Linked DNA regions of Pelodiscus sinensis. The protein of the gene in region 2 purifies or fractionates together with the protein of the main gene of each other region. This does not show direct contact. Links are inferred from orthologs where the notes say so. Each region holds a gene or a part of one and is shown on either strand. Other genes may lie near its edges.

What was found.
Region 1: the proteins of DDX23 (region 2) and CD2 antigen cytoplasmic tail-binding protein 2 purify together in Homo sapiens (affinity purification with mass spectrometry; 6 studies listed by BioGRID and IntAct, counting the BioPlex papers as one, with this or other methods). This does not show direct contact. The link is inferred for Pelodiscus sinensis from reciprocal best matches to the Homo sapiens genes DDX23 and CD2BP2.
Region 3: the proteins of DDX23 (region 2) and AAR2 purify together in Homo sapiens (affinity purification with mass spectrometry; 3 studies listed by BioGRID and IntAct, counting the BioPlex papers as one, with this or other methods). This does not show direct contact. The link is inferred for Pelodiscus sinensis from reciprocal best matches to the Homo sapiens genes DDX23 and AAR2.

What each region holds. Positions count from the first base shown.
Region 1 is NC_134714.1:134,633,104-134,640,968, forward strand, and holds the start of CD2 antigen cytoplasmic tail-binding protein 2, read left to right. Parts: upstream 1-4,817; 5' UTR 4,818-4,993; intron 4,994-6,223; 5' UTR 6,224-6,237; coding exon 6,238-6,312; intron 6,313-6,614; coding exon 6,615-6,762; intron 6,763-7,865. Other genes in the region: sesquipedalian-1-like, read right to left, coding at 2,169-2,744. UniProt on the Homo sapiens protein: Involved in pre-mRNA splicing as component of the U5 snRNP complex that is involved in spliceosome assembly.
Region 2 is NC_134729.1:5,091,233-5,098,325, reverse strand, and holds the start of DDX23 (putative ATP-dependent RNA helicase DDX23), read right to left. Parts: upstream 3,027-7,093; 5' UTR 2,873-3,026; intron 706-2,872; coding exon 536-705; intron 451-535; coding exon 358-450; intron 1-357. Other genes in the region: RND1 (rho-related GTP-binding protein Rho6), read right to left, coding at 5,318-5,563, 5,791-5,925, 6,749-6,858. UniProt on the Homo sapiens protein: Involved in pre-mRNA splicing and its phosphorylated form (by SRPK2) is required for spliceosomal B complex formation.
Region 3 is NC_134728.1:30,148,773-30,155,716, forward strand, and holds the start of AAR2 (protein AAR2 homolog), read left to right. Parts: upstream 1-3,923; coding exon 3,924-4,746; intron 4,747-6,944. UniProt on the Homo sapiens protein: Component of the U5 snRNP complex that is required for spliceosome assembly and for pre-mRNA splicing.

The DNA.
Region 1 (7,865 bases), on a different chromosome or scaffold from region 2:
AGACTAACAAGATGGTTTATTAGGTGATGAGCTTTCGTGGGCCAGACCCACTTCCTCAGATCAAATTGTGGAAGAAAATAAGCACGACCACATATCCCAAAGGGATACAACCAAAACAAAGTGAACACGCATAAAAAGGACAAATCGAATTTCAGAGGGGGGGGGAGAGGGGTAAATGTCTGTGAGCTAATGCTATTGGAGGTGATAATTGGGGAAGCTCTTTGGAATGGGTAAGATAATTAATGTCTTTGTTAAGACCCCAGCGTAAAGTGTCGAATTGAAGCATGAATGACAGTTCCGAGGTTTCTCTTTCAAGTCTGGTGTTAATGTCTTTGAAGCAGGATGCAGGCGTCACCTAATAAACCATCTTGTTAGTCTGTAAAGTGCCGCACAGCCCTGGCTGGTGTTTCAGACTCTCACGGCTGCATCTCTAGTACTATGGGGCTAGTCTGGCTCTTCCAGGGGCTCCGGGCTGCAGGTCTCTGAGAAGCATCAGTCGGGGGCTGTTCTTCCAAGGCCACTGGCCTTTAGATCTGAGAACCCTCGGGGAGGGGAGCGTGGCTCTTTGCTGCTCAGTGGCTGGGTGCGTGGGAGGCCACCCAGGAGGGTTTCAGATGCTGCCCAGCGGATTAGCAGAGCACCCATGGCCGGCAGCCTGCTTCTCCTGGTGGTGCACGTTTCACAGGTCTCAGTGCAGAGAACACCTATTCCGCCCGGGGGGATGAGAGGGAACATGGGTTGGGGTGCTGCGTCTCTGAAGATCGCTGGGTTGAGGGCCTTTGAGTCCTTGGTCTGGGGGGGGGGGGGTCTCTGCCCCTTGAAAGGGGTGAGGGTGTCCCAGATGAATAGGCTTTGTGCTCTGGAGCAGCCCGGAGTGGATCGTGGCTAGGCTGCCTCGTGTGGCACTCTCCTAGGGTACACCCTGCGGGCCCTGCCTCAGAGCTGTCAGCACCCGTTCCACACTGCGAGCTCCCTTCAGGGACGTCTGCCAGTCTGGATCAGCGTAGAAAGCAGGATGTTCCAGCCAGCCCCAGCCCCTAGGTCTCTGCCCCAGGGGTAGGGGCCCCAGCCCCAGGGGTAGGGGCCCCAGCCCCAAGCTTTGCTTTCCAGCGGGTCAGAATGGGCCAGCTTCCTGCCAGTGCAGGCTCAGCGGTTGCCAGGTACCACTGGCTGCCTGTTGGTTGGGCCCAAGACGCTAGTAGAGGCGGGCTGGGCTAGGGGGTCTCTGCAGACTCACCCCCTTGTCCCGCCACAGGGTGAATCACGCAGCCTGCCTGGAAATGGAGACCCCCAGTATCCACACCACTGGGTTCTGGTCTTGGGGGTATGGGGCACTGGCCTGAGATGAGCCTCAGTTCCCTGAGGGCCACTCTGAGGCTAGTGAGAGCCAGGACTCCTGGGCTCTATTCCCGGCTCACTGGGGTTAGTGGCGGAGCAGTGGCCACGGGGGACCAGGCTCTGCATGCTGGAGGGGCGAAGCCTGGACGGTGTGTGCTGCGCCAGTGGAGGTTGGGTGAGGGCAGCAGGAGCCTGGCTGATCTCCTAGGGCAGGAAACGGTTGTTGAAGGCGGTCAGAGCCGCAGGCAGGGCCCTGATGGAGCGTTTCCTGCTTTGCCTGTCCCTGTGGCCCGAGAGCCTCCTTTGGCTGAATGAATGGGGATTTCTCAGACCCACAAGTTGAGCCCAGTGCAGCAGTGGGGGGAGCTCTCACCGGGCAGGCAGGACGTTTGTTCCGCACAGCACCCGCTGGAGTAGCCAGGAGCTCCCCTGCCCCAGCCGTTGCCCTGCCCCCTGCACTCAGCGCCCCCCACTGCTGGCCAGAGGTGACCAAACAGTGAATTCACGTGGCTGAGCCCAGGCCCCGACAGAACACGTTTATTATTGGAAAAGCATCGCCTCAGTGCAAAGGTTTGGCCTTGAAAGGTCCCCACTTCCCGAAGAACCGCAAGGCAGAGGGAGCATCTCTGCCTCCTTAACCCGGGGGGGAGGGTTTCTAGTCCATCCAAGCCAGACACGGCCCCTTCCCATTCTGTCTGTCCCTTGAGCTGAGCTTGCAGCCCCTGCTAGCCCACCCTGGGTCCCCCACACTGCATGTTTCTCCTGCATTGGATGGCATGGAATAGGACTCCCCTACCCCCTCTGGCTCTTCTCCTTTCCCTGCTCCCGTCCTACCCCAAATCAATCAGGTCTCCCTGTGTTGGCTGGGTCCCTTCTGCCCTGGCCTCCTTCCACTTCGCCCGCAGCTTCACAATCTCCTTCCCAAACTGCTGGTGCAGCCCCTCAAAGTCTGGCAATCCCACCGCTGACACCACTGGGCGGTGCTGAACAGCCCATTCCTTTGGCGGGGCAACCCCATTGGCCCGGTACTGTCCCTCTAGCTCAGTCACCAGAGCCCGCAGGTAGTCAAAGCTGGCCGTGCTCAGAGCCCGTACCCAGCCCTCCATGGAGGCCTGGTCTTCGGCAGCCATCTTGTAAGCTCGGTGGCCCGACCGGTAGGAGATTTCAAAGGTGAAAGGCTCTGTGGCGGATTCCTGTAGCTCCACCGTGCAGCCCTCCAGCAGGATCAGCCCCAGCGGCTCCCGGTCCCCCTGCCGCTCCCAGTAGAAGAGCAAGTTCCCTCGCAGTTCGCACCAGCGGCGCTGGTAGGTGCTGCTGCGTTCGCTCTTCTTGTACAGCCGGCCCTGGCGGTCGGGGGGCACTGCCACGCGGGAGTAGCCCAGGACGCCGGTTTCATGCAACTTCATGTGGGCAGGGACCTGAGAGAGGGGAGACAGGGAACAGGACGTGGGGCCTTTCCCGGGCAGGGCCCCAGCCCCAGGGCAGGGAACGGGACGTGGGGCCTTTCCCGGGCAGGGGCCCAGCCCCAGGGCAGGGAACGGGACGTGGGGCCTTTCCCGGGCAGGGCCCCAGCCCCAGGGCAGGGAACGGGATATGGGGCCTTTCCCGGGCAGGGGCCCATCCCCAGGGCAGGGAACGGGACGTGGGGCCTTTCCCGGGCAGGGCCCCAGGGCAGGGAACGGGACGTGGGGCCTTTCCCGGGCAGGGGCCCAGCCCCAGGGCAGGGAACGGGACGTGGGGCCTTTCCCGGGCAGGGCCCCAGGGCAGGGAACGGGACGTGGGGCCTTTCCCGGGCAGGGGCCCAGCCCCAGGGCAGGGAACGGGACGTGGGGCCTTTCCCGGGCAGGGCCCCAGGGCAGGGAACGGGACGTGGGGCCTTTCCCGGGCAGGGGCCCAGCCCCAGGGCAGGGAACGGGACGTGGGGCCTTTCCCGGGCAGGGCCCCAGGGCAGGGAACGGGACGTGGGGCCTTTCCCGGGCAGGGGCCCAGCCCCAGGGCAGGGAACGGGACGTGGGGCCTTTCCCGGGCAGGGGGCCCAGCCCCAGCCCCAGCCCCAGGGCAGGGAACGGGACGTGGGGCCTTTCCCGGGCAGGGGCCCAGCCCCAGGGCAGGGAACGGGATGTGGGGCCTTTCCCGGGCAGGGGGCCCAGCCCCAGGGCAGGGAACGGGATGTGGGGCCTTTCCCGGGCAGGGGCCCAGCCCCAGGGCAGGGAACGGGATGTGGGGCCTTTCCCGGGCAGGGGGCCCAGCCCCAGCCCCAGCCCCAGGGCAGGGAACGGGATATGGGGCCTTTCCCGGGCAGGGGCCCAGCCCCAGGGCAGGGAACGGGATGTGGGGCCTTTCCCGGGCAGGGGGCCCCAGGGCAGGGAACGGGACGTGGGGCCTTTCCCGGGCAGGGCCCCAGCCCCAGGGCAGGGAACGGGACATGGGGCCCAGGGCTGGGGGCCCGGAGTTCAGGGCAAGGCTGGCTCAGGGGGCCCAGCGCAGAGGGCCCAGGGCAGGGCAAGGGGAGCGGGGCGCAGGGCGGGGCCCGGGCCTAGGGGGCCAGGGCGGGAGGCTCAGCAAGGGGGGCTCGGGGCGGGGCAAGTCGGGGGGGGCGGGGCGCAGGGCGGGGGGTTCGGGGCGGGGGACTCAGCACGGGAGCCCAGGGCGGGGCTCAGCTCGGGGGGGCGGGGCTCGGGGCGGGGGGGGCGGGGCCCGGGCCTGGGGGGCTCGGGGCTCGGCGCGGGGGGGGCTCGGGGCGGGGGGGGGCGGGGCTCGGGGCGGGGGGCTCAGCTCAGGGGGGGCGGGGCTCGGGGCGGGGCCTGAGACGGGGGGTTCGGGGCGGGGGACTCAGCACGGGAGCCCAGGGCAGGGCACAGGGCTCAGCGCGGGGGGGCGGGGCTCGGGGGGCTCAGCGCGGGGGGGCGGGGCTCGGGGCGGGGGGGCTTAGCTCGGGGGGGGGGCGGGGCCCGGGCCTGGGGGCGGGGGGGCTCAGCTCGGGGGGGGGGGGGGCTCGGGGAGGGGGGGGGCCGCTCCCCGCCCGGGCTCGTTACCTGGCTCCTGCCCGGCTCTGCCCGCGCGGCTGCTCCCTCCCGGCCCCGCCCCCCGGAAGTGTCTCGCGGCAGCCAGGGCGCGGCCGGCTCCGCTCGGTCCTAAGGCGACCCGGGTTCGCGGGGGGGGGCAGGGCCCCACTCGCCCCCCCCCCCCGGTGAAACACGAGGGGCCGGGCCCCTTGCCCCCCCCCCGGAAAACAGGGGGGGCCGGTGCGCCTGCCGGGGGGGGCGCAGGGGGCGTGGCCCCGTGGAGGGGGAGGGGCCTATGCCCTGGGCCTGTCCCGTCAGACCCGAGGTGCTGGGGGGGGGGGGGGCGGGGCGCTTGCTGCCCCTTTAAGCGTTGCCATGACTCCCGCTCCGCACGGCAGCCAATGAAGCCGCAGCTAGCGGTGGCTGCCCGGAGAAAACGTCACTTCCGGCCCCTCCGCCAACCCGCCGTTGGGCTCCTGCGCGATGGGGGGCCCTCGCTCAGGTGCCATTGTGACGTCACCTATCGCGCTATTCGCCCGAACGAGATCAACCCGGCGCGAGAGGCGGGGCGAGGGCCTGCGGCGACGTCACATCCGGGCAGAGTGACCCGGAAGTGGCTGCCGCGCGAGGGCGCTCTGCGAGCCCCGGAGGTGAGTGAGTGGCGCAGCCGATGGGGGCGCTGATCTGCATATGCAAATGAGGGGCTGTGAGGGTCTTGGGGTCCCGCTGGTACCGGGGCGCCCGGCCCGAGCCGAACGGGCTGATTTGCATATGCAAATGAGGCGGCAGGACCCGTACTGCGCATTTCCCCCGGGCCGGACTATTGCATCTTATTTGCATATGCAAATTAGGCATCACAGGGGGGCCCTTGGCTGGGCTGAACCGAGCGCTTGGGCCCGCCCAGCACGGTGGAAGCGAGTCATTTGCATATGCAAATTGGGAAGCTGCGAGGCTGGAGTTTGGGCCCGTGTCCCTGCGGGGCGGGGCCTGGGGGGCTCATTTGCATATGCAAATGCACGTTGTGCCCGGGGCGGGTTTGCAGCCTGGCGCAGAGAGGATGCTCCGGTGGCGCCTCGCCTGAGGCCGGGTCTCTGGCGTGTCATTGGCCTGTGGGGCTGCAGGTGCCTGGGGCCGCGGGGCCCGTCGTGTGGGGCTGCAGGTGCCTGGGGCCGCGGGGCCCGTCGTGTGGGGCTGCAGGTGCCTGGGGCCGCGGGGCCCGTCGTGTGGGGCTGCAGGTGCCTGGGGCCGCGGGGCCCGTCGTGTGGGGCTGCGGGTGCCTGGGGCCGCGGGGCCCGTCGTGTGGGGCTGCGGGTGCTAGGGGCAGCGGGGCCCGTCGTGTGGGGCTGCGGGTGCTAGGGGCCGCGGGGCCCGTCGTGTGGGGCTGCGGGTGCTAGGGGCAGCGGGGCCCGTCGTGTGGGGCTGCGGGTGCTAGGGGCCGCGGGGCCCGTCGTGTGGGGCTGCGGGTGCTAGGGGCCGCGGGGCCCGTCGTGTGGGGCTGCGGGTGCCTGGGGCCGCGGGGCCCGTCGTGTGGGGCTGCGGGTGCTAGGGGCAGCGGGGCCCGTCGTGTGGGGCTGCAGGTGCCTGGGGCCGCGGGGCCCGTCGTGTGGGGCTGCAGGTGCTAGGGGCCGCGGGGCCCGTCGTGTGGGGCTGCAGGTGCTAGGGGCCGCGGGCCCGTCGTGTGGGGCTGCAGGTGCTAGGGGCCGCGGGGCCCGTCGTGTGGGGCTGCAGGTGCTAGGGGCCGCGGGGCCCGTCGTGTGGGGCTGCGGGTGCTAGGGGCCGCGGGGCCCGTCGTGTGGGGCTGCAGGTGCTAGGGGCAGCGGGGCCCGTCGTGTGGGGCTGCAGCGGCGGACGCCCCCTTCCTTACTCACCTCCCTCCCCAGAGCATCGGGCCACCATGCCCAAGCGCAAGGTGACATTTGAGGACCAGGTGGAGGGGGACGAGGAGGAGCTGGCCATGCCCAAGAAGAAGGTGAGTTATGAGGGCAGGGATGTGGGGAGGGATCTCTGTGGGGCAGTGAGGCATGGGGGAGGGATACAAAGGGGAGGCCTGTTGTGCGGGTGGGGACGTGAGAGAGGTCTCTGGAGGTACCCTGGTGAAGGGTACAGGTCTCTGTTGGGAGTTGGAGGGGGTCGCTGGAGAGGGTGTGACCATGGGGTATTTGAGGGTTCTCCTGGGTGTCTCAGGATGATGCTGGTGAGTGGGGGGCCTGTTGCATCAAGGTGCTGTGTTTTGGGATGACCAAGGGAATCTAAGTCTCCCTCTCTCCCCAGCTGGCAGAGCCTGGCCTGGGGGCCAGCGGCCCCGGGAGCCGCTTCAAGGGCAAACACTCCTTGGACAGCGACGAGGAAGACGAGGATGAGGAGGGCGATGACGGCCGGGCCAGTAAATACGACATCCTGGCATCGGAGGACGTGGAGGGTGAGACCCTCGGCAGGGGAGACCAAGCTGAGTGGGCAAAGATCTGGGGAGGGGGACCCTGGGGAGTGGGTGGGAAGAAGGGAAGGATGGGAGGCAGGTGAGGGGTGAGTGTATGATCCGGGGGGAAGGAGGGGAGAATGGGGGCTGGAGAGTGCTCCTGTGGGGAGAAGTGGGGGGTCCTGCCTCGGTAGACCAATCTGGGGCTGTGCAGAGCAGGGGAGACAGGGTAGTAATGAAGTTGGGGAAATGGCAGCAGGTCTGATGGGCAGGGGGGTCTCCCAGGGGTAGGAAGTGGGGAAGACAGTGGTGGGACTGACAGGTCACAGGGTCTCCAGAGGCAGGGGCAGGAGGCAGGGAAACTGGTGGGGTAGTGTTGAGGGAGCAAACTGTGGCGGGGCTGGTGGGCAGCAGGTGACTGTGGCGGGGCTGATGACTGGGCAGGTGATAACCGTGGATGGAGGAGCTGAGGAGTAGGGGGATGACCATGGCGGGGATGACAGGTGGCCAGGGGGTGAGCGTGGCGGGGCTGGTGGGCAGGGGGTGAGCGTGGCGGGGCTGGTGGGCAGAGGGTGAATGTGGCGGGGCTGGTGGGCAGAGGGTGAGCGTGGTGGGGCTGACGGGCGGGGGGTGAGCGTGGCGGGGCTGACGGGCGGGGAGTGAGCGTGGCGGGGCTGGGGGTAGGGGGTGAGCATGGCGGGGCTGACGGGCAGGGGGTGAGCGTGGCGGGGCTGACGGGCAGGGGGTGAGCGTGGCGGGGCTGACAGGCGGGGGGTGAGCGTGGCGGGGCTGGGGGTAGGGGGTGAGCGTGGCGGGGCTGACGGGTAGGGGGTGAGCGTGGTGGGGCTGACGGGCGGGGGGTGAGCGTGGCGGGGCTGACGGGCGGGGGGTTAGCGTGGCATGCTGGGGGTAGGGGGTGAGCGTGGCGGGGCTGACGGGCGGGGGGTGAGCGTGGCGGGGCTGGGGGTAGGGGGTGAGCGTGGCGGGGCTGACGGGTAGGGGGTGAGCGTGGCGGGGCTGACGGGCGGGGGGTTAGCGTGGCGGGGCTGACGGGTAGGGGGCGAGCGTGGCGGGGCTGGGGGCAGGGGGTGAGCGTGGCGGGGCTG
Region 2 (7,093 bases):
GCAAAGCCGAGATACAGCAGGAAGAGGGGCTGCTGGCTCAGCGACTACTGGGCAGGAGGCGCTGCCTGCTGGAGCCGACATCTCCTGGAGGAGAAGGGGAACCAGGGCCCTGCCCCTCGCCATCGTTATCGGCTCCACAGGGTGGTGGCAAGACCCCAACATCACACCTTGGCCAAGGACATTCTGCTCCCTGAAATCTCCAGCCCGGCCAGACCCCGCTCATTTCCAGTCTTAACCTGACAAACGGGTGCCAGTGCAGTGCGGATGTCTCATGCTGCACCCCAGAAGTGGTTGCATTCCCAGAAACTCTCCCATAACACTGTACGCACTGGCAGAGGTGGGGGTGCAAGGTTTTACCTGGAGCGTTTCCTGTCCTTGTCCCGCCGGTGCCCATCTTTCTCCCTCTCGCGATCCTTCTTATTCCGCTCACGCTCTTTTTGTCTCCGCTCCCTACAAGGGTAGAGCCGGGGGATCAGTTACCAGCCTGTCAGAGCCAACCACACGGCCCCCCACCCCTAGGCCTGGAGGCTGCTACCTCTCAGCTGACTTGGAACGGGAGCGGGATCTTGATCGGCTGCCCCGCCTCCTCTCCCGAGACCTGTGTCGCTTCCTGTCACGGTCCCTGTCCAGGGAGCTCGCACGTTTCCTCTCCTCCTTGGGGGGTGACAAGTCCCGCTCCTTCTTGTCGGGCACGTCACCAGCCATCTGTGCAGGGCAGTAAGAGGCTGTTAATGGGGGTGTGGAGGGTGTGAGAGGGGAACTGAGCTTCCATTAGCTTGGCACTGCCCCCCCCCCCCAAAAAAAAATACACGGGACACATCATTAGGTGCGGGCTGGCTTGGGGAGAGCAGAGAATGAGGATCTTCCCCTCTGGGGGGCGCTGACTCCCATCCAGAATTGGCCCAAGGGCAGAGGGGAAGGGAAGAGGGTGATTCCCTATTTTGGCCTTGGTGCAGCAGGGGTGTCTGGGCAGTTCACAGGACATACACCCTTTTTAATACAGGGTTACCACAGTAAACCCATGACCCTAACCCTGGGAGAGAATCCAGGAGTCCACTTCCCCCGCAACTCCACGAAAGAACCAAGGAATAGACCCCTGCACAGACACAAAGTTCTGTACCTGCATCTGTATCTGCAAAAGTGAGCTGCGGATATCCGCATCCATTAAGGACGTAAAAGGTTACCTGTAAGCATTAGCCATACTAGCATGCTCACCAGATAACTGGTTAAACGGAGGGGGGGGGGAAGAAGCAGTCCCCCATCTGCTGTGGCCCGGCTGACAGGAACCCGTGGGCCAGAGTGGTCCCCCGCCCATGGCACGACCCCAGCTGACCGGCTGGACCAGCCCCCCCACCTGTGACGTGGCCTGACCCTAGTGGGCTGGCTGGAGCAGTCCCGCAGCACAACACAAAGCAGTCCCCAACCCGTAGCGTGACATAACCCCAGTGGGCTGGCTGAAGCAGTCCCTCGCCCACAGTGCGACCCCAAGTGGATGGCCACAGCAGTCCACAGCGTGGCGTGACCACAGCTGGCCAACTGGAGCAATTCCTCATCTACAGCACAGCGCAACCCCAGCAGGCTGGCCAGAGCAGTCCCCCACCCGCACACAGAGGGCAGAGCCCCCCCCACAGCAGGATGGCCAGACCCCAGCAATACAGTTAACCGGTTCATTGATTACAATTAAATCGTTTAACCAGTTCACTTTGTATATTTACATCCCTAGCAGCGGTATCCAAGCAGGACCTGTGGGTATAAAAGGGTCATCCACAGATGACCAGAATATATGCAGTGTTATAGATCCAACATTTGCAACCACATCCACGCAAATGAGCCGTAGATACACACATCCACATCCGCGTGTGGGGACACCCACAGATATCTGTGGATTTGCAGGGCTTTTCCCAGACTCCCTTCCGCCTCTTCCCCAACCATGCGAGAGAACCCAGCAGAGGGGGCTTCCTCCGCATCCCAGACTATTCCCTCTAAGCTGGGCGCTTGTGCGGCTGCTCAGGAGACATTCAGATGCCACCCAGATGATTAGCAGAGCGCCCCCAGCTAGGTTTTTGTTCCTACTGGTGGTGCACATTCACACATGCCTCAGGGCACGCAAAATGTATTCTGCACATGGATGGAAGGAATTAGAGGGAACATTGTCCTGACCCCACGAGACTGCCCAGAGGTCCGTGCTCTGCCCCTCCCTCCCCCGAGAACCCAGAGATCCGGGCTCTGCCCCCCCCGAGACCCCAGGGATCCGGGCTCTGCCCCCCCCCCAGAGATCCCAGGGATCCGGGCTCTGCCCCCCCCAGAGATCCCAGAGATCCGGGCTCTGCCCCCCCCGAGACCCCAGGGATCCGGGCTCTGCCCCCCCCCGAGACCCCAGGGATCCGGGCTCTGCCCCCCCCCCAGAGACCCCAGGGGTCCGGGCTCTGCCCCCCCCCCAGAGACCCCAGGGATCCGGGCTCTGCCCCCCCCCCAGAGACCCCAGAGATCCGGGCTCTGCCCCCCCCCAGAGACCCCAGGGATCCGGGCTCTGCCCCCCCCCCAGAGACCCCAGAGATCCGGGCTCTGCCCCCCCCCCCGAGACCCCAGGGCCCAGGCTCTGCCCCCCCCCCCCGAGACCCCAGGGCCCAGGCTCTGCCCCCCCCCCCCCGAGACCCCAGGGCCCAGGCTCTGCCCCCCCCCCCGAGACCCCAGGGGGCCCAGGCTCTGCCCCCCCCCCCGACACAACAGGGCCCGGGCTCCGGCTGTGGCTTGCGGGGCGCAGGGCGGCGGGTTCGAGCCCCTGCCCCCAGGAGCAGCAGGACCGGCTGCCCCGAGAGCCGGGCTCCCCTCCCCCCGAGAGCGCTCCGGGGCCCCACAGCGCCGCACTCACCCCGCGCCGCGCCTCCTACTAGGCCTCACAGCCCCTGCGCAGCAGCCGCCATCTTACGACAGGCCCCCGCGCGACACTGTCGCAACGCCGCGCGGCATGCCGGGAAAGCGAGGCCGGCTTGGGCGGCCGGCGGCGACCGCGTCCGCAGCGCAGCAACTACCGCTCCCAGCAGGCACCGCGCGGCTCGCCGCCGGCATCCTAGGGAAGGTCGCTCCCGGCGCTGAGTCCGAAACAGCGCCCCCTGCTGCCCCAGCGCGCCCTGCCACCGCCCCCCCCAACTGCTGGCAGCAGCCTGCCCTGCTGCACCAGCACCAATCCCATCACTGCCCTTCCTCCTCCCCCCATTCCTGCCTGTACCCCCACCCTCATTATCACTGGCCCTGGCCTCACTGCTGCTTCTTTCTCCCTCTCCCCCCCCCCCCAACACCGCCCTCTGGCCTCACCGCCCCTGCTCCAGTTCCTCCTGTGCACCCAGCCCTGCCCCCACCCATCCAGCCTCTGTGCATTGGGTTCCCATGCAGCTGGGCTCCGCAGAAGACACCAAGCCTGCTCCTCCTCTCCCCACCAGCAGCACGGCCCCTGGGGACGCTCCTCAACCCGGCAGCCAGAGCCAGGGTAGACTCCTCCACTTCATTCACCAGGATCTCACTAGCTTAACACCCAGGGCTTCCAGCTCTCTTGAGCCAGCTGGTTCTGCAGCCCAACATTTCCAAGGGAGAGTGTCAGCCCACGGGGCTATTGGCCCGCTGTGAGCCGGTGGCTCAGAATCTCCAGGACAGGGAGCCCTCTGGGGCCAGTCTGAAGAGCCCCCCTCGTCCCCCCAATATGTTAGAACCACTGCAGTCACAGCTTCAGGGGCAATGGGAGACTTCCTGGGGCTGGCCCGGCCAAGCTCATGGCCCCACTGATTGCTGTGAAGAAGGGGCTGGGCTGAAGAGGGGGCAGGGGAGGAGAGAGAAGGACAGCTGTAACCAAACCACCTCCCTCCCGACTGTCTGCCACAGCAGAAGGAGCTGCTGTGAGTTACAGGGCCAGGCTGGCCCTAGACACCAACCCCACTGCCTGGACCAGAACCCCATAGTCACTGTGGCCTGAAGGGTCCTTATACTGTGATCACATCCCCTTGCCTCTCTCTGCACCCTAGCAGAGTTGAGTTCCACCAGTCTCAGGAGAGAGCCCTGCTGTCCTGGCAGGGATCGGCCCTGCTGTCCTGGCAGGGACCGGCCCAGGGACCACCATGCAGGTAAGAGGGCAAAGGGGCAGCAACTGTTTCACTACAGCCAGAAATAGGCTCTATCTATTGAAATTCATCCCAGCCCTCACCAGCCCCTTCCCCTGGGCAGAGCATGAAGCAGGGGGTCTGTGTGCAGCCATAACTAAGCTCCTGTCCTTCCTCAAAGCCAAGTCCCCTCTTGTTTCTGCCACACGGGGGTGCTGCACCCAACACAGAGCACCAGGAATCTGGCCCTGCCTCCGCTGGCCAGACTTTGCCCTAAGACTCACACTGCTAGGACAGTGACTCACTTGCTCCAGGGCTGAGTGGCCCACCGGACGCTCACTCAACCAGACAGAGACAGGAGCTGGCGTCACCTCCACACCCACAGTAGCCCTGCTGGAGGTGATGTGGCTGAAGGGAGGGGCAAGAGCCCTGTGGATACCCACAGCTAGGACCAGTGGTTAGCAGGAGTCCTGGCTCCCAGGCTTGTTCCCAGCTTGGTCAGTCTGCACATAGCTGGGGCAAGTCCCTGCCCACAGGCGCCTTAGTGACCCTGTCGGGGAAGACGGTTGGCATTGCAGTGGTGGAAGGGGGAAGGTGTTTTGACAGACACAGGAGGCGCCCTTGCCGCTGACGGCTGAGCCAGTGTATTTTCCATAATAAATAAGCTTTTTAATAACACTGAACACTGACGAGTTGCCCCCCCAAAGTCTATAAACCAGTTGCCTCCTGCCCCCCCAGAGGCAAAGGTGGAGCCGCCCCCGCGCGGGAAGCGGGTAACGTGAGCCTAGAAGCAGCCGGCTCCAGAGACAAGCAGCAGATGAAGGGGATGCGTCACAGCCAGACACCGAGTGGGCATTCAAAGAAATGGATGGATTTCCCCCTCCCCCCTGCTCCAAGGGGGGGGGGGGGGCACGTGTCAAGAGCAGCTGCTTGCCAAGGTCCTTCTGCATCGAGACGCCCCGGGGCGCTCATCACCCGACTCTCTCTTCCTCGGAGAACGCGTGCTGAGTCAGCGTGGGAAGCACTGGGATGGTGAAGGGCCAATCCTGGGGCTGCTTAGGCCAGTCGGGAACTAGAGGCCTCTCTGCAGGCTGAGGTGTCACCGCCCCATCTGGCCTGGGCCACCAGGCAGCCCCCCACCCCTCCCCCATAGCATCGGCTCGAGAACATCCAGAGGCCAGAGTTGGGGTTTGGTCTGTCCGTCCCTGCCCCGGGGCCAGGCCCCTTCACATGATGGAGCAGCTTTTAGCCTTCTCCTTCTTGAAGGTGGAAGACAGGAGTTCGGAGCGGCTGGACAGGTGCAGGAGTCTCTTGGAGAGGCTGCGCCCGGGACTCTTGGGAGCCGGGGGGCCGGCCTTGCTCAGGCAGATGGCAGATGCTGTCCGGAAGATGCTGTGCACACTCTTCTCCGATGTGAAGGCGGAGCACTCCAGGTAGCTCTCTGCTCCCAGCTGCTTGGCCACAGCACAGCCCTGTAAGCCAGCCAAGGAAAGAGCCATCAGACAGAGCCAGACAGAGCTTGGAAGCTGCTGGCCAGGTAGGTTTGGGGCTGTGGCACTAAGCCAAGCTTCTGGTGCAGAGCTCCAGCCATGCTGGAACCAGAAAGCCAGCCCCTCTGGGTTGGGATCTGAACTGGAGCCTGGGCACCCCCCTTTTAGGAGCAGTCCTGGCCGATGGGGGACGAGCTGAGCCCACTCACCTGCTCATAGGAGACGGGCGCCTGCTTTTGGTGGGACAGCTCCATTAGGGTGCTCAAGTCAGTCCGCAGATCTGTCTTGCAGCCAATCAGCAGGACCCGGGTGCTGGGACAATAGTCCAGAATTTCTGTCTTCCACTGCATGGAGAAACCCCAAGTGAATCAGGCCCTGGAGCTGGAGTCACCAGGCTTAAATCCCCTGGCCTGACTCAGCTGCAGCCCACAGGACTATCAGCAGCCCAGCCCTTGCACTATCTCTGGGTCCCAGCCACAGGAAGGGCGTGGGCCCCACAGCGCTACCCTGGTGACAACACAGCTCAGCCCAGTCGGGAACCTCACCCCACCACTGGATCCTGCAGCGATCACCCCAGTCCAAGCCACCTCACCCCAGGACTAGCTGAGAGTGGCTTGTGGGCGGGTCGTTCTGGGCAGTGACCCCAGGTCTGAGCCCTGGCAAAGGGGGTTAAAGAAACATTCCCCTCCCAACCCCATGTTTGAACCCCAGGGTCACCCCCATCTCCGGGAAGAAACAGCTGGTGCCCACAGGAACAGCACAGGCAGCGACGGGGGTGCTACTCTCAGGCAGTGGGGCAGAGGAAGCTCCCCCCCATGTTTAAGCCAAGCAGAGAGTCTTGGGAGAAGGAAATTTAGGGGTCACCCCCAGGGTTTAGCCTCCAGCTATAGAACGGCTCTGGGGGCACAGGAGTGTTTGGCTCCCCATGAGAGGGGCTTGGCCTTCCCAGTATGAAATACCTCACCCCTGCGGTCAGACCCCTGGGGAAGGCCTGCTGGATGCGAGTGCGGAGAGCTGGGGGGCAGGGCCCTTAGAACACCCCAGGGTTGCCACCAGCTCTTGTCACTGCTGGCTGGAAGCACACCACCTCATCTCTGTCTGGGGCCAACTGCCCCAGGGCCCCCTGCTCCACATGAGTGCTCAGATGTGCCATGGGCCCCCCCTCACCTTCTTCAGGGCACTGTCCATGGTCTCAGGGCGGCCCACATCAAAGCAGAGCAGGACGGCATCAGAGTCGCTGTAGCAGAGAGGACGCACATTGTCGTAGTACGGGGACCCTGCGAGAAGGGGGCAGGCCACAGGTGAGCCCCATGAACCAGGGGAGCTGCTGGAAATCAAGGCTCCGCCAGCACCCATGTCCGGTGGGGAAGCAGGATCCTCGCAGGCAGGGGGCACTGCTTGGGGGCCCAGGTTAAGCATCCTCAGCCCCCACATGTGGCGCTGACTGAGCCCCACTGGGTACAGCTGCACAGCCAGGGCCCTGCAGCTCCCCGTCCTCCCACTCCCTGCATC
Region 3 (6,944 bases), on a different chromosome or scaffold from region 2:
GCTTTTGGAGCAAACTGACTCCAAGATCCATTGCCTGACTATCTCTAGGGCAAATCTAAAGTGCTCTGCGATATACATTCCAGTGGCATCTAGAACATACTTCCACCCACAACAGACCAACTGTTACTCTGCCCTGCTTATCAGTACCTGCACAGAAAGAAAAGTAGAGATTACAAAGGTAGACCTTCTCCTTCTGCATCAATGCTTGCTCCATCTACACAGCCATAGGTGCGAAACCCGTCTTTGGATGGGTTGCCAGGATTACAGAGATCATGTGTTCCCATATTTGCAAACCAACTTTCCTACGTCCTCGGTGCTTGGTCCAGATTACCTCAGACCAGTCGGGATGTCAAAGGGTTGTCGATTAGTCGAGTGACTACTCGCGTTCTCCCCTCCCCCTTGCTGCCTGGCTGTGTCTACACTGGCATGAATTTCCGGAAATGCTTAAAACGGAATACTACTCTGTTTTCAGTTTTTCCGGAAAAGGAGCGTCTACATTGGCAGGTTGCTTTTCTGGAAAAGCCCTTTTTCCGGAAAAGCGTCTGTGGCCAATGTAGATGCGCTTTTCCGGAAAAGAGCCCCGATCGCCATTTTCACGATTGGGGCTTTTTTCTGGAAAAGACTACTGAGCTGTCTACACTGGCCCTTTTCCGGAACAGTGTTCCGGAATAAGGACTTATGCACGAGCGGGAGCAGAATAGTTTTTCCGAAATAGCGGCTGATTTTGTACAGTAGAGCATCGTTGCTTTTCTGGAAATTCAAGGGCCAGTGTAGACAGCTTGCAGCTTAGTCCGGAAAAGCGGCTGATTTTCCGGAATAAGTGGCCCAGTGTAGACACAGCCCCGCTGTATCAGAGGCAGGCCGCGGGGCGAGGCAGGAGCCGGTGCTGGAGGGAGCTGGCTTAGAAGCAGGTTCCCAGAGCCCTGTCTGTGTCAGGCAGCCCTGACTGGCCCCCCCTGCTGGCTCTGCCGTTCAAAAGGCAGGAGGAGGCGGGCGGCCTGGGCTATACAACGTTCCCCCATTGCCCCCCCCCCCCGGCTCATGGGGGCGCGGGGAGGGGCCAGGCGCGGGGCAGGCAGAGCCAGACCTCAGGGCTCGCGCCGGGAGCCTGAGAACTTCCGCTCCCGGCTGGGGAAGGGGGAGGGGTTTCCCTGGCTCGCCGGGCCCTTCGTGCCGGGGCAGTGGGGCTGCCCGGGCCGCTTTCCGGGGGGGACTCGCGGGGCTGGCGGAAGTCGCCGCGGTTCCGGTCCGCCGCGCGCTCCGGCGGGGGTTGTGAGGTGCGGAGCGGCGCCCTGGTGAGCGGTGGGGGCGGCAGCCGCCCGGCTCGGGGGCCCTGGGTGGGCGACGGGGGTCGGCGGCAGACGGGCCTGAGGGTCTAGAGAGGGAGAGCGGAGGGGCAGACCGCGGGGGGGGGGGAGTGTTACACGGGGCCGGGCCTGTGGGAGCTGGTTTGGGGGGCGCAGACCGTGGGTCTGGGCCGGGTTATACGGGGCTATGGGAGCTGGTTTGGGGGGCGCAGACCGTGGGTCTGGGCCGGGTTATACGGGGCTATGGGAGCTGGTGGTATGTGTAGAAAGCTGCAAGGGAGCAAGTAGCTGTCTACATACCACTGGTGTGTTGGGGGCAGACTGGGGGTCCAGGGGACTGTGGTTATACCTGGGCGGGGAGACTGGGGTTCTGGGAGACTATTCCTGGCAAGGGGAAGCCTGAGGAGGAGGCTCCGCTGAGTGTGTTTATAAATACACCTTGTAAAATCTTCTCTCGCTTACTAACAGACTATGGTGAGAGGTGTGTGTCAGAGCTGTAGTCTGTGATTTTTCCCATTATCCTTACTGGAAGGACTAGACAGGGAATTGCTGTGACTAGAGTTTATGTTTTCATTGGTAAGATTTTAAGATGGATTTTTTTCTAGCTGCCGAATATCATTGTACTGCTATAGCTTTATCTCTTCTCCTCTTGGCTAGTGCGAGTGCCGTGAGGTGGTGCTTTCAGATTACAGACTGCAGTGAGAAGACTGCATATCGGGTTTGAAATAGGGATGTTAGAGTGTAGCTGAATAACCATTGACTGATAAGCTGGTGCTTTTTGGTTAATGGTTCCAGTTACACTCAGCTGACTCCGAGGGAGGTGGCTTTGCTGTGACAGGGTAGCAAAGCCTGCTCCCCAGGAGCCAGACAGGCAAAGGCTTCTGGCCCCATTCCTGGGGAGGAGGCTTCGCTGCTGCTGGTGGCCTTGCTCCGGAGGAGGCTTCACTGTGGGCTATCCAGTATAAAGTAGAGATGTAAAAATGCATTTAATCAAGTAAACATGTAACCACTGAAAATTTCAGCTGATAAATGTGGGGGAGGAGGGCAGGCAGCTCCCAAGGAGCTGGTGTGCATGGGGAACCGTCTTTTAATCTGGCTCCCTGTATGCAATGGCTGCTGCCTGCCCACCCTATATTGCTGCATGTGATATAGAGGCAGCAGCGTGGGGGAGAGAGGGGGAAAGGTGGCTCCCCGGGAGCTGGCTTTTAAGCGGTTGCACTGTTACATGTATACCAGGTTACATGTATACCAGGAGCATGCATGTAACCGTGAAGGTTAAGTGATAAGCCCAGGCTCATCAGTTAACCATGTATACGGTCACACTTTTGCAACCTAGTATAAAGTTAAGCTTTATGCTGCAGAGTATTATAGAATCATAGGGCAGGAAGAGCTCTCAGGAGGTCATCGAGTCCAGAGTCCAGCTGCCTGCCCAAAGCAGGACCAATTCCAACTAAATCATCCCAGCCAGGACTTTGTCAAGCCGGTGCTTAAAAACCTCTAGGGATGGAGATTCCACCCCTCCCTAGGGAACCCATCCCAATGCTTCACCCCGTCCTAGTGAAATAGTTTTTCCTAATATCCAACCTAGACCTCTCCCAATGCAACTTGAGACCATTGCTCCTTGTTCTGTCATCCGTCACTATTGAGAACAGCCTCTCTCCATCCTTTTTGGAACCTCCCTTCAGGAAGTTGAAAGCTGCTATCAAATCCCCCCTCACTCTTTTCTTGTGCAGACTAAATAAGCCCAAATCCCTCAGTCTTTCCTCGTAGGTCATGTGCCCCCCAATCATTTTGGTTGCCCTCTGCTGGACCCTCTCCAGTGTATCCACATCCTTTCTATAGTGGGGGGGGGGGGGGGGGGGAGAATTGAACACAGTATGGATGTGAAAATTAAATGAATCAACTAATCAAAAAATGGATGGAATTTCCATCGACTATTTGATTAGTTAATAAGGGCTCTTCCACTTTCAAATGTAGTGCTAGACCGCCTGGCTGTTGCTACATTTCAAAGGTGGAAGTGGCTTGTGGCATTCTGCCTTTGACATGTACAAGATCCCCAGCAGGGGCTCTTGTGCATTTAATAGATCGAAACGCCATGTGGAGACCAGGGCAAGTGGGGGGCTCTTGTACATGTCAAAGGTGGAATGCTGCTGCTGTGCTCCTGCCTCCTCCCACAGAGCTGGGGGGAGCCGGTACCCCCCAGCACCACCTCCTCTCTCTCACCCTGTTGCCTCTTTCTGATAGAGGCAGCAAGTGGCAGGGAAACGACTAGTTTACTACTGTGTCAACTATCTGATAAGGTTTTGCTTATTGGATAGTCAATTAGTTGCTTACATCCCTATTGCAGAGCCCCAGAGCGTGTAACCGCTCCGACTTTTAGCAGATACACCATTACCATATTCAACTATTTTAACATCCCTAGTGCTGAGGCACCTATGTATTGTTATTTGTTAAGTACTAACTGTTTTCTTTACTGCGTAAGGCACAGCTATCAAAACCACTCTTCTTCAGTGAGCATACGGTCCAGAAGTACAGCACTGGACTATATTAACTTGCAAAGGTTTTCATAAACTATCCTGGATGGAGGGATCTGTGTGTTTACATAATACAAGTGTGATGTGCTTGCCCTATCCTAGATTCTTGGTAGAGAGGCCTGACGCAACAGCCAGACCAGCAGACAAGATGGCAGAGATGCAGATAGATCCAGACCTGGCCAAGAGACTGTTTTTTGAAGGTGCCACAGTTGTCATTTTGAATATGCCTGAGGGGACAGAGTTTGGCATTGATTACAACACTTGGCATGTGGGCCCCAGGTTCCGTGGAGTCAAGATGATTCCTCCAGGCATCCATTTCTTCCACTATAGCTCTGTCAACCGGTGCAACACTAAAGAAACAGGCCCCCGTACTGGCTTCTTCTTAAGCCTGCACCAGCGAGATTTGCGGGTTCTGCACTGGAACTCATCCAATGAGGAGGTGGACCTCACCCCAGCATCTGAAGAAGAGATTGAAATAATGAGGTCAAATCTTCAGGAGATGGACAAGTTTCTTGGACCATACCCATATGAGAGCCTCAAGAAATGGATCTCTCTCACTAACTTCATCAGTGAACCAGTGATGAAGAAGCTTCAGCCAGAGAGTGGACAGATCTGTGCCTTTTCAGAAGTTCTGCCAGTTCTAGCTGGGAAGCACACCAAAGACCGAGCTGAACAGAACCTGCCCCGATATGACACAGAATGTAAGAGCTATGCAGAAGGCCTGGCCCGACTGCCCAAAATGAAGCTGAAAGCTGGCACTGAGATCCGGTTCACAGAAATGCCAAAGCAGATGTACCCTGATGGTGCTACTCCTGAGGAAATAACTAGGCATAGCATGGACCTTAGCTATGCTCTGGAAACAGTGATTAACAAGCAGTGTTCCAGCCAACCCCAAGATGTGCTTGGTGAGTATAATGGCTGTCCTAGAAACTGAGTCATTGCAAGCTAGTTTAAACGCTTATCAGTAAGAGGGTGTCCAGCTATCATAGACTATAGCAGGGCTACTCAACTTTGGAAGCCCCGGGGGCCACAATGATACTCAACATATGCCAAGGGCCACAACTTACTGTGGTTGCATATGCATGCAAATATATATGCAAATAGCTTCTTTCACACCGACAGGTATGAATACAAAGCTTAAGGCAAGACTACACAACACACAGGCCCCATTTAAGTCAGTTCTGCTGATATTAATAAAATGTAGTATTTACCCGATTTCTGCCCATATGACAGCACTTTAAATGAGCAATGACAGTCCAGAAATTTAACTACTAAAACACATACCAACAAAAGACCATTATATTGACTGCTTTTTTGTTTTGGCTCCCACCTATGGGCTGCGTGTTGAGCCCTGCATAAATCCCAACCACACCACAGGACGCAAACAAATGAGCTGTGGGCCACGTGGCCCACATATGGTCCTGGACTATAGTATGGAATTAGGAATCAGAACACTTAGGTCTTAGTTCCACTCTTGCCAATAAATTAGCATTTGGACTTTTGGCAAGTCATTTAGCCTCTCTGTGCCTCCAGTTATCCATCTATAAAATAAGGATAATACAGTGCCTGTTTCACAGGGTGTTTGGGGGCTTAATGTGTTGTGCAGCATTTTGAGATTCTTAAGTGAGAAGTGCTTTTACAAGCAATTTGCTATGCGTGAATGTTCAGAGCAGCATGTGGAATGTTGGCTATGAGCTCTCAGTGTTGCGATGTGAGTCTTGAAGAAGTGGCTTCATCCCATGTACATGGTTTTTTTAGTCTCCAACTCATTGTTTTTTAAGTTTTTCCCCAATATTCCTTTCACATCCATCTCTGGGTTTTCTCCTCCATCCCACATTATCTGGTTCCACCTCTGCTGGCAACCTGCCAATTAACTAATTACATAAAAATACGTTTTAAAAGGAAGTAAGCCACCAGCCTTATATTATTTTCATTGAAAAAGGTGATTACTGGGAACAGTCTGGATGGTGCAGGAAGAGTATATTGAAATCATTACTTGCAGCACGATGGGTATCAACATAATTGTTCAGCTTAGGAACAGAAAAAATGGGTTATTCCAGACATAGAAAAATGCTACAAATAGGACATCACTGTGACATGCAGAAATTGGTATGTTGGCTTTGGCTCCTACAGCACTGTAGCCATTTATTGTTAATTTGTTATCCATTTTTTCATTAAAAAAACTAAGCAGAAGCAAATCTTGAACAAATTCATTTCTCTCCCCTCCCTTCCCTTCCCCTCCATACTAGAGCAGCAGAGGCTGAAAGGGAAGAAGCAAGCTTAGGAAGGCGAAACCTCTTGTGCTTTGCTGGTGACGCCTTCTGGTAGGATTTGGAGATTATTGTGAGGAAAAGCTTTGAACAAAGACTGTATTCATTGTACAGAAGAATGTGACATGCATTATTTACTGACATATCACAAATTAGCAGCTGGTGGCCCTCAATAGTATTGCTGTAATTAGCTGCTAACTCTGTTGGAAATAATGGCAGCGTCTGTTACAAGTTAATGCCAACTCTATTGAGAACTCTGAAATCCAGCCGAGATGACACGGTTACCCTTAAGATAAACCCTGGATGCTTGCTTCTCATGTTCTTGTCATTTTATCTGTTAACTATGTACCTCCTAAAAAAGCAGAACTCTGTTCTGAAATGTTCTGAGAGATAAAAATAGCTAGTTTCCTTCCCAGCTAACAAACATTTCCCAGTGCTCTGTGAAAAGCATATGCAGAAACGGTTGTGATAAAAAGGATATCTAAACATCTGGTAATGCTGAATCCTGCCTGGCAAAATAAAGCCACATCTATAGTACCGGCTATGGCGTTGATGTCCTGTAGTTTAGATGATACCTACAATGATGAAAGGAATTTTTTCCATTGCTGTTGGTAATCTACCTCTTTGAGTACTGATAGTGGAATTTTTCCATCAGTTTAGTCTAATCTGGGGTTAGGATGGTATATCTATAGCTCTCAACTATGTAGATTTTTCATACCCAGGGCACCTAACTTTGAAACATGGACCAGGTCTAGGAAAGCAAAGCTGCTGTAATAGCAATACCACATTGTCTTCTGCACATATAATATCATAGATTGCTCTTACTGTCTGCC